Linked DNA regions of Callithrix jacchus. The protein of the gene in region 3 interacts with the protein of the main gene of each other region in a biochemical or structural test. Links are inferred from orthologs where the notes say so. Each region holds a gene or a part of one and is shown on either strand. Other genes may lie near its edges. The genes, in order: DAB2, TAX1BP1 and MYO6.

The links.
Region 1: the proteins of MYO6 (region 3) and DAB2 form a complex in vitro, tested with the Homo sapiens proteins (7 studies listed by BioGRID). The link is inferred for Callithrix jacchus from reciprocal best matches to the Homo sapiens genes MYO6 and DAB2.
Region 2: the proteins of MYO6 (region 3) and TAX1BP1 form a complex in vitro, tested with the Homo sapiens proteins (5 studies listed by BioGRID, with this or other methods). The link is inferred for Callithrix jacchus from reciprocal best matches to the Homo sapiens genes MYO6 and TAX1BP1.

Annotation. Positions count from the first base shown.
Region 1 is NC_133503.1:166,097,251-166,101,335, reverse strand, and holds the start of DAB2 (disabled homolog 2), read right to left. Parts: upstream 2,878-4,085; 5' UTR 2,775-2,877; intron 1-2,774. UniProt on the Homo sapiens protein: Adapter protein that functions as a clathrin-associated sorting protein (CLASP) required for clathrin-mediated endocytosis of selected cargo proteins.
Region 2 is NC_133512.1:30,307,105-30,310,755, forward strand, and holds part of TAX1BP1 (tax1-binding protein 1), read right to left. Parts: intron 2,959-3,651; coding exon 2,858-2,958; intron 1-2,857.
Region 3 is NC_133505.1:80,986,481-80,990,707, reverse strand, and holds the start of MYO6 (unconventional myosin-VI), read right to left. Parts: upstream 2,898-4,227; 5' UTR 2,700-2,897; intron 1-2,699. UniProt on the Homo sapiens protein: Myosins are actin-based motor molecules with ATPase activity. Unconventional myosins serve in intracellular movements. Myosin 6 is a reverse-direction motor protein that moves towards the minus-end of actin filaments.

The DNA.
Region 1 (4,085 bases), on a different chromosome or scaffold from region 3:
CTGGTCAACATGGTGAAACCCTGTCTCTACTAAAAATTACAAAAAATTAGCTGGGCACGGTGGCGCGTGCCTGTAATCCCAGCTACTCAGGAGGCTGAGGCAGGAGAATTGCCTGAACCCAGGGGGCGGAGGTTGTGGTGAGCTGAGATCGCGCCATTGCACTCCAGCCTGGGTAACAAGAGCGAAACTCCGTCTCAAAAAAAAAAAAAAAAAAAAAAATGGTATTCATTTAGTAATTTTCCAAGTTCGTGTACATCATAACTAGAAATAGGAGCTGGGCTATTCATGAGATCAATAATAACACATTTCTTATGGAGATCTTAGGTTAGATCATGGGGTTGGGATGGGGAGAAGTGCCTACTGCTATATTTTTTTCTGAAGAGGTGACTGTAATACTTTTAAAATAAATGCCTGATTCAGTCTTATAATTGTGTTTTTGCTTCCTTAGTCAACATTCTTCTTCAAGAATAACTTTACTGAAATGGGATGACATGTTTTTAAAAAATTGTGGAATGCTTTTGGTCACAAGTAAATGTTTCTAAAATCAAAAAATGCTAGAAAAGATTTAATTCCTAAAAATTTAAATTAAGTTTGAAATTAATAAAAACACTAAAAATAAAATTGCAGAGTTCCTCCTTTTCCTTCAAGTCACCAACTTCCCTTAGTAGTAGTAAGTACACTGAGTCCATGCTATTTATAACACAGTTAGCATGGAGATCTCAGACCCATAGACGCAGTTTAGCATACCATTCTCTCATTTTTAGTTGAGAAACAATAGATTGAGGAATACCTGGAGGTTTCTCTCAGGATTATAACATCAGAGGACCAAAGGATCCTTAACAAAATAATCAAATCCATTCCCTTTGCCTCCAAGGTATGTGTTGAATTATCAAGCTAAAGCAGGATTACTTGTAAATCTACATTTGCTGAGGGCTCTTGGGGAAGGAGATTGTAATGACCCCATTTGAATAGCATTTACTGTTCATGAATGTTTACTGATATTTATGCCACATCCTTCACACTACAATTTAAGCCTGTTTGAGCTCACTCCTTCCTGACCTCCCATAATATCCTCAATTTTGTATTGCCCTTTAATTTTTTCATACACTAAAGTTCTGTGTTTATAACAAGGTCATCTATAAGAATTACATGCTTTACATTGCTTCAGTTCTTCCTGGAGTACAGGTTGAGAGATTTCTCAACTAGCTGATAGACACCTTTTATAAATTTAGAAGTTTTGCAAGAACATAGCAACCAGTTAAAAATATCAGATTTTATTCCACTTCAGGTTTGTCCATTGCATTGGGTGCTAAAAGACTTCTGTAGTTTCCTAATTCTTAGCAAGATTTTTTTCCCCTCACATAGTTAGATAGGTTAAGCCTGAATGGTAATGTAGTATTCTTTCATGCTCTTATTGCCTTTCATATAAATGCATATGAGTAAATATAGATAGAAATATTCAAATAAGTAGTCAAATGATAATAAAAATCTAAATGTTAGAATCAATTTTGAATGGAGAATTTTAATTAGCTAGTGAGTGATGTACATATATAATCTACATGATATGAATACACAAAGAGATTAAACAATAATCATAATAGACCAACATTTATTGAGTTATTGTTATGTGCCAAGCACTGTTTTAATTCTCTTTATATATAAAAACTTAGTGAAGCTTCATGACAACTCTGGGTTGCTACTATTAATATCTCATTCTAAAGAAAAAGGAAAGCTGATACACAGAAATGTCAATTGCACAAGGGCTCGCAGTTGGCAGGTTGTAACTGATGTTACAGTCTAAGAACCTGGGCCTCTCCCCACTAAACTCCAGTTTCTGTGGTGATAGGAAGGGGACTTTAATATTTAATAGGAGGTGTCCAGGAAGTGGCACATGATGGTTCTGGTTTCAGTTCTCACTACAAGAAGAAGTGACTTGCTTGCCACAGCAGACAGAAGACCACTGTTCTCCCAAAGGAAATGCAGCTGCTAGGGAGAAGGCACATATAGACACAGTAAAGCTACGGTCAGCATTTGAGGGGGTTATTGGAGGGAAGCTGAAATTTAGGAAAAACTCAATCTAGAAAGGTGATGCTTTGAGCTTGTAGTGGCAGGAGCAGGGACCTAGACTTAGAAATAAAGACCCTGAAGCAAGACATGGACATTCCAGCCCAACTAGGCATCATAGTACGCCCATCATTATGCCCACGTTGGAAGAGCACCAGACAGGATCAGACCCGTTTCCATAGCTCTTGGCCACAGAGATCAAGTGTTATGATTAGTTGCTTCGTTAGTAGAACACACTGAGGATCTCTTGTAGATCATTGTTTATAACTAGAAAAATAAATTGCATGCAATTCTTGAGAGTGTGGATGGAATCATTATTAGTAAAACCCTATCATCATCTTCGGAAAGTTCCAAGTCAAAAGAATCCTGCTATGTTTGGATAAATATGAGTTTTTGAATAAAAGAGTAAGGTGAACACACACTCTGATTCCAAAGTTCTTTAATATTTATAAAATTTAGGTGCTACCTTCTGCAGATACATATATATACGAGCTACTATTATCATATTACTTGGCCGATAAATAAATATACATGTACATATACAAATGCAAGTATTTACATATGCAGTCTTCTAATACATTCCTATTCCAGTCTCCTCAACTGATTGTCAAAATCTCCCCATGATCCTGCCCTAACAGACTGAATCAATATTATTTTCCAATTTTGTATTACTTTCTGCAGACAGAAAATTATGCCATGTCCCTTCTTACCTCCAAGCTTGTTGTTCTTGTTGCTTCTGCAGGGAACGACCTTTCCACTTTTCTAGACGTAGCCAAATCCAGTCAATGACTCTTCAAGGCCAAAATCAAGTGCAGTTTCCTCAGATATTCTCCACCCAACCCCGATTATTCTCATCTCCATCCTCCCTTGGTACTTCCTGCTCAAGACACTTTGGCAGTCAATCACATGCTGCCCTGAACATTGTCATGTTTCATGTATGCATGCATTGCCTAACAAATCACTTGTCTATTTCTTGGGGCTAGGAACTGACTCTTAAACTTTTTGCCTTTGCACAACTTCATGAGGATAATGTCAGACATATAGCTGACTCTCAATGCATAACTGTTTGCAACAAAATGACTTGAAAGCACTTAATTGTTTTACTTCAGACTTACTGACGTCAATAACTACATTATTTTTGAAGGACGTATTTTTCCCCTTGGGTTCAGAAAGACCTGTAGGGCACAGTGTACATCACAGTCAGGGCTCCCTTTAAATCTACTGCATGTTCCGTGAGAGCAATTGAGTGTATCCTCTTGTCTCCACATGCTTTTTAACCTGGGTAATTTATATATTTCTACTGTTGGACAAAAAATCATTTCATTGGAAGGAAAATGTCCTATTATGATAGAGACACACAATTATTTGAGTTTAAACACACTTTGATGATAGTCCTCCAACGATATTTTCTCACATGGAGGTGATGCCTGTATCAGGTTAAGTCCTCTGTGTCCAGAAATTGCTACAATTCTGCTGTATTGGCATTGGCATTTAGGCAGGCAGCTGCTGAATGGCATAATGAGACTTGGTGAACATAAAATGCATGGTTTACTTAATGAGTTGAACTCAATAATCACATAGCATAAGAATATATCGCAGCCTCTATCATTCCAATGTATCTTAAAAACTACAATACTTTTGGATCCATCCACTGTGAAGTTACCTAAACCCTCCAACTTAGTGCTGTCAGTCTTGACTACCTCCTGGAATGATGGCTTCAGTGATATTAATAACACTAGCAGTTAGCATCCTACATGCCCATAGTTATCTCCATTACTCTTCACAACACCCCTGTGAAGAAGGCACTCTATTACTGTCTGTTAGAAATGAGGAAATTGAGGCCTAATGAAGTTAAGTGGCTCAGTCTAGGTCAAGGGTACACAGTAAGTGGTGGAACCAGGGTTTAGTGCTCCCTGCCTCCTCAAGGCAGACTAAATCCTTTCTATGCTCAGCATCAGCATCACCTGGCAGCTTGTTAGAGACGCAGAATTTCAAGCCCTGCCAGGACCTACTGAACCACA
Region 2 (3,651 bases), on a different chromosome or scaffold from region 3:
ATCTTTATCTCCCTGGATTCGGCAAACGTTCCTTGGAAAGTAAAAAGCACAAAACAGAAAAAAACTGATAAACTGTACTATATCAAAATTAGAATTTTGCTTTTCTAAAAACATCATTAAGGAAATGAAAAGGCAAGCTAGAGACTTGTAGAAAATATTAACCTTACATATATCAGACAAAAGACATATCCTGAATAAGAAACAAACTCCAGGTGAACAACCCAATGTTTAAACTACCAAAAAGATTTGACCACTCACACAAAAGATAAAGAGCAAATAAGCATAAGAAAAGATGCTCAACATCAAGTCATTATGGATATGCACATTAAAACCACAATGAGCTATCAGAACACACACATTAGGGCTGGCTATGTAAAATGGTACAGATACCTTACAAAACAGTTTGGTGACTTCTTTTCTGGTTTTCTTCTTTTTTATTGGGGGGGGGGGGGGACAGAGTCTCATTCTGTCACCCAGGCTGAGTACAGTGGCGTGATCTTGGCTCACTGCATCCTCCACCTCCCGGGTTCAAGTGATTCTCCTGCCTCAGCCTCCAGTGTAGATGAGATTACAGGCATGCGCCACCACACCGGGCTAATTTTTGTATTTTTAGTAGAGAAGGGGTTTCATCAGGCTGGTCACAAACTCCTGACCTCAAGTGATCCTCCCACCTCGGCCTCCCAAAGTGCTGGGATTACAGGTTTGAGCCACTGCACCCAGCTGGTAATTTCTTATAAATATTCACCTACCATATCACCCACACAATTCACTCCCAGATATTTACCCAAGAAAAATAAAAAAACTGTATATCCATAAAAAACTCGTAAACACATGTTCATAAGTAGATTTGTACCAGCCAAAAAACAACCCCAAATGCCCATTGACTGGTGAATGAACAAATGATATAATAAAAAAGGAATAAATATAAGCAATAATATGTTAAATCTCAGAATAATCATGCTAAAGGAGGGCAGAAAAAAATACATATTACATGACTCCATTTTATAAAGTTGTATAAAAGGTAGGCTAGTTGATAGTGGCAGAAAGCAGGCCAATGATTTCCTGGAGATAAGGATAACAAAAGACTTGTGTTGCAAACAGGTACAAAAAAAATTGTGAGCCAGCCAAGGTGGCTCACATCTGTAATCCCAGCACTTTGGGAGATTGAAGCGGGCAGATTAGGAGGTCAGGAGTTCGAGACCTGCCTGGCTAACATGATGAAACCCCGTCTCTATTTAAAAAATACAAAAATCAGCTGGGAGTGGTGGGGCTCGCCTGTAGTCCCAACTGCTCAGGAGGCTGAGGCAGGAGAATCACTGGAACTCGGGAGGGAAAGGTTCTAGTAAGCCGAGATCACACCACTGTACTCCAGCCTGGAAGACAGAACAAGACTCCGTCTCAAAAAAAAAAAAAAAAAAAAAAAAAAAATGGGAGGGTGATGGCATTGTGTTAATAGTGTCACAACTGTGTATGTCAAAACTGATCCAACTGTATACTTCAAGTATGTCCAATTCAATGAATTTCAATTATACCTCAACACAGTTGTTAAAAAAAAAAAAAGCACTTTGAGGAAGGTTTTTGCTTGAACATTATTCTACCTTCCTTACAATACTATTTCAATATAAAAATCTTTAAATATTCATGCAGAATTGTTTCATCTTTAATGAAAATGTAGTTCAGTCTTACAACTACCCTGAACTCAAGAGTAAAACTGTTCTAATCAACCCTTCTACAGGTTTCTCTCAAGAAAAAAAAAAAAGTTCACTTTAAACTTTGATTAAAACGTCTTGCTATTTATAAGTAACATAAAATATTTTAATTACTAAAATTAATTATAGTAACATTAAGCTAATGTGTAAATTTTATTCTATAGCTCTAAAAAATGCCCCCCCAATGCACATAAAAACACACAAAATAAAAGCCCATTAATAAAACAAAAATGACATATGCAAACAAAAAACATTTTTTCCTCTCTAGTCCAAATTGATATAAATGAGAAGCATCTTCCCTTTTCCTTTAAATATTCCAGTAGTGAACACTACACCAAGAAGGCTGCAAACTAGAAAAGTCAGAATGATGCTGTTTAAAATAATCAAAATAAACAACACCATAAGAGACAATAACTAATTTGGTTAACATTCCCTTTTCCACTATGCAATTCTAGTCACTTTAAGATGTAAAAATCTTTGCTATTATAATAGTAATTTATTTTATATATCATTATTTTTGGAGACAGAGTCTCACTCTGTTGCCTAGGCTGCAGTGCAATGTGCAATCTCAGCTCACTGCAACCCACATCTCCCGGGTTCAAGTGATTCTCCTGCCTCAGGAAACTAGCTGAGACCACAGGCAAGCTCCACCAAGCCCGGCTAATTTTTAGTACAGACAGGGTTTCACCACGTGGCCAGACTGATCTCGAACTCCTGGCCTTAAGCAATCCACCCATGACGACCTCCCAAAATGCTGGGACTACAGGCATGAGCCACCATACCTGGGCTGTAAGAGTAAATTTTAAAAGAACACTTCTCTTTATGAAGTTCAAATATTTTTCACTAATCTTTGTAAGATGACAGATAATAATCTCTAACCTCAGTTAACTATTTGCCCATTACCCAAACAAGAACATTTTATTAGGTGAAAAGAAAACAATGACTTTAGGTCTCATGATTTACACACATGCCAATGTGAACAGGTACACAAAACACCCACCTCATCATCCTGAAAGCCAAAGTGAAACTAAATAACAGTATCTGGGGATGGAAAGGAACTCAAAGATACCAATCAATCAAAACAATAAAGGTAAGCTAAGTCATTTACATTTGATAAATCTCTTTCATTTACAAGGGAGTTAACTTACCTGTAAGAGTTGTTTACATTTATTATACTTTTCTGTTTTGTCAGCAATTTCTTTGGTCATTTCACAGACTTGCCCCTTTGTTATTATGTCAAAATCTGTCTCTGGTATAAGAAGACAGAAAACAAGACTGTTACAAAGTATTTTGCCCCCGTTATCTGCCTGTTCAGATTAACTTAAAGGTCAGTATATTGCGAAATATAATAAATGGAATACTGGAGGACACAAATATCTATTCATATCCTAGATATACAAAGAAGGATATATAAACTCTAGCTGAGAATTTTTACATGTGTGTTTGGCCAGAACCAAGTTCATATTCAATAATGAAAGATTATTCTTTGATTTTTTTTTAATTTGCTAAAAAGAGTTCCGAAATAGAAAAAAAAAAAATTTGTTCTCCTTATACAACTGAATAGACAGGATAAGTAGGAAAACCATACTCTGAGAATTCTCTCTCCCCTCTCTAAAAGCCAGGGTCTCACTATGCTGCCCAGGCTGGCATCAAACTCTTGGGAGCAAGGATCCTCTTGCCACAGATTCCAGAGTATCTAGTAGTACAGGCATATGATACCACACCCAGTCAAGAACACATTTTAAATCATTCTTCTAGTCCTTCATTCACTAGGTCTTTATTAAGTAAATACCCTATGACACCATTTTAGGTACTACAGAGGATACATGAAAATAGAAGGCTCGATTCTGTCCTACAGGGGACAAACCTAATTAAGTATTTATTAGTCTAAGATGTTTACATTTAAAAAGACTTAAAACATCAATTACTCTACACACTAAAC
Region 3 (4,227 bases):
CTGTCCAATTATGGCAGGTGACTAACAAATGTGCAATAATCTTATACTAGTAAAGGGCCAGTTCATAAATCATTATGAAATATCTCATTATGGGTATCATAATTAAACTCCGATTGCAATCCCAGCACTTTGGGAGGCCAAGGCGGACAGATCACTTGAGCTCAGGAGTTCGAGAACAGCCTGGCCAACATGGTGAAACCCCATTTCTACTAATAATATAAAAATTAGCCAGGCGTGGTGGCGGCCACCAGTAATCTCAGCTACCTGGGAGGCCGACGAAGGAGAATCCCTTGAACCCAGGAGGTGGAGGTTTCAATGACCGGAGATCATGACACTACACAGCCTGGGTGACAGGGCAAGACTCCATCTCAGGGAAAAAAAAAAAAATGAATAAATAAACTCTATGAGATTTATTTAAGTTATAACACTTTTCAATATTTTATTTTTAGATATTTTAATATATAAAAATGAAAACTGTACAGAAGTTAAATTCTTCTTAAAACTGACATTTTACATGTCAAAAACGGAGCCTCAACTGTCAACAAAGTTAAAATGGGTTAATTTTTAAAAAATGTTTGGATGTATATATCTATTCAAACCTCACATGGTCAAAATCTTTGAAACTTTCTAAAAAACTTTCTAAAGAAAGCTACATTTTGGAAGCCAGATACAGCCCAATTGTCTAAACAATGGGCTACATGATACACCACAGACTCCAGGCAAAGTCACAACAGGATGAGAAAAGAGCCTTCAGCCTCTCGGATTTCCTGGTCACTGTTATTTTAAAACTTGATCACGTAAACATAAATAGGAAAAAAATCCATTTCAGATAAGCTCTACTGGTTATGATTTACAATCTTTTGTTTTTAATACAATATTTAATTGCATTAATTTACATTAAATATTATAATTGTTCATTACATTTTTCTTGCTCATGTTTCTGGGCACTAACCAAGAATATATATGTATATCATATATAGTTTTATATATTATACAGTTTTTAACATATTTCCTTAAATGTCATTCATACTTCTGTTACTGCCATTTACAATAGTTTCTGAAAACAATAATGTAACTTACAAAGATGGAGAATGATAAACAGCATGTCACACACAAAAAATGCAAAAGTAATGGGCAAATGTACATACGACTACAATGACTTGTTTACCGATGTGGATGTAATTCCTGCCTAACGTAAAAATACTCAAAACGAGCTGGATATATAAAAGTCAGCGAGCTATTGTGAAAGGCTGCATGGTTTCAAGCTCTAGTTATAGTCCACTTGGTAACATTTGTGGCGGTTTCTACAATTAAAGGCAAAAGACACAGTTAAGTTTTTTGTTTTTTTTTTTACGTGCCGTGACTCCGATCAGAGGTAATTTTTTCACTAAACATTCTCCAGTTGGAAAACCACAACCTGAGACATCTAGGAAGCTCAGTTAATTTGTACAGGAAATGCTGCTTTGCCGCCAACCTTTGTACCATGACCACTACAAGTCCAAGTTCAAGATTCATGTTTTATGTTGTGAAGATAAGTTTCAGCTAAATCTTAAGAATGTTAATTTCTAGGGCAGGTGCGGTAGCTCATGCCTAATCCCAGCACACTGGGAGATTGAGGTGGGTGGATCACCTGAGGTCAGGAGTTCGAGACCAGCCTGGCCAACATGGCAAAACCCCATCTCTACTAAAAATACAAAAACTAGCTGGGCGGTAGTGCACGCCTGTAAGCCCAGCCGCTGACGCAGTAGAATCACTTGAACCTGGGAGGTGGAGGTTGCAGTGAGCCGACAGAGTGAGACTCCGTCTCAAAAAAGGAACCTTAATTTTAAAACTCTCAAATTCTGACTAGATAGACTGCATCTATACCACCAGAGCATTAAAAAAAAAAAAAAAAAAAAAAATGAGACTTACTTAGCCCGTACAGTTAGTCTATTAAGTTAGGGCAGTTCTTCTCGTTTTCTCACTAATACTCATAAATTAGGAGTTAAGCATCTTTCCACGGTATCACTTTATGCTAGATAAGATGTAATGAATTTTTTGAAACTGTATGGAAATACTTCTAAACTCAGATGTTCTAGGGATACCCCATCAAATTATGTCCTATTTAAAATTAAAATACCAGAGTTTGAGCATTTTAATCGTTTTAGGGAGTTTTTGGAAATTAACAGAAGAAAGTTCTTGTTCAGTAGCATACCTGTAAATTAACATACTCAAGGTACTGAGAGACAAAGAATAAAGCTTTACAAAGTCTCAATCTGGTCTTCTACATGATTAGACTATTAATGGTATCATTTGATCTTCACATCTCAGAACAAACTGCGCTCTCCCTGCACTGTATTTTAAGCGTGTTTACAAAAGAGAAAATAAAACTATCACAAAGTGTCCAAGTCCGAGTTGGACACCTGAGTGCTCTGCTTCTACCTGGGAGCCAGGGAAGAAACACAAAGGGACCTTGGTGATTGATAACCCGTGAAAGGAGGCTAAACGTCTTTCTGTGGAAACAAGAACCACCCCCGGCCCCACCGCGCGCCGCCGCCGCCCGGGGCCGACCCATCACCTGCTTCTCCCACCCGCGTCGTCCGGCGGTGAACCGACGCGTCGGCCCGGGAGCTGCCCGAGGAGGCCCAAGAGCAAGGCCGGGCCGGGAACAGCGAGACCCCGGAGCCTACGCCCCGCAGCGGGGGCTCCGGGACACTCACCGGTGCCGGCGTGAAGGCAGGTGCGCGGCGGCAGAGGTACTCGTGCAGCTCAGGCTGAAGGGCGCGGTGGGAAGTGATGAGGGCGAGAGATGAGGGCGAGCGAAGAGGCCGACGACGCGGACGCGCTGCAGGACGGGGCGGCGACAGCGGCCCGGCTGCGGCTGGCTTCCTGCTCGGACAGATCCCGAGTCGGTCTCCGCCCGCCGGCCGGCGCCCAGCCGAGTCCCCGGCACCGCGGCGTGCACGTCACGGCTACGGAGCGCCCGAGGGGGCGGGGGCGCCGGGGCCGCGGTGCGGCCGGCCCCCGGGAGCGCGCCGGGAGGGGGCGCGCGTTCTGGGAGCGAGGGCGCCGTACCCCCGGGGTCGCCCCGCCCGCGGCGCCGAGCCTCTGGGGCGGGGTGGGCGCCCTGCTGCGCAGGGAGGGGCTGCCCTGGACAAGCCGGGAGTTCTGGTTCCTCGCACAGAGAAACGGCCTCCTTCGTCGCGGTAGCTGTTTCCAGTCCCAGTGAGGCAGGTCCTCTCCGGCTGATGCCGGGACTGTGCAGGCTGCCAACAGCAAGAATCAGTTCAAGCAGGGAGAAAGTTGTTCGGAGAGGGGGCGAGGAGTCCGGGGCTCCGCGCTGGGGACCCAGGGACCAGGTGGCCGCGCCCGGGCTGCAGCGAGGCTGTGTGGCGGCTACCTCGGCTCCGGATCTGGCCGGCTTGGGCTGGGCTGCCCTGCATAGGGAGGAACGTTCCTGCACAACTAAGTTCCAGTCGGCCTTTGGAGGAGGGAGGGCTTGAGATGTGAATTTCGCACCCCTTTGCTTCTCCCCACTCCCACCCTCGCCGCTGCATTTACTTTTTAGAGTCCCTACCTTCTCAGTCGTTTAAATGTTACTGTTTTTATACGTGACATATCTGTGAATCACTTTTTAAAATATGAAGTACCTATGCAAATTTGAATTATATGGTGAAAACACATCATCTTTACGATGAAAACAGCTTCTGTTAAGGCAACGAAGTGATAATGGACTATAATGCTAAATGTATCCGGGGAAAAAAGATAGCCTACTTACACATGAGAGTTGCACGTTTTTCTGCAACATTTATATGTAGCGACTTGGAAACTTCTGGAATTCTGAAGATTCCGAAGAGAATTTCTGATACTTAAAGGCTTCACGGTTTTCTTGGAGAAACAAAACAAAACAAAACAAAAAAAAAAAAAAAAACTGAGGTCTCGCAAGATGTTTTAGCTTTCAACTAAAACAAAATATTAAGAATAAAATAGGGGCTGGGCATGGTGGCTCACGCCTGTAATCCCAGCATTTTGGGAGGCTGAGGCGGCCGGATCACGAGGTCAGGAGTTTGGGACCAGCCTGGCTAGCATGGCGAAACTCCATTTTTAATTAAAAATATATATATACAAAAAATTAGCTGGGAATGGTGGCCCATGCCTGTAATCCCAGCTACTTGGGAGGCCGAGGCAGGAGAATCGCTTGAACCCGGGAAATGGAGGTTGCAGTGAGCTAAGTTCGTGCCACCGCAT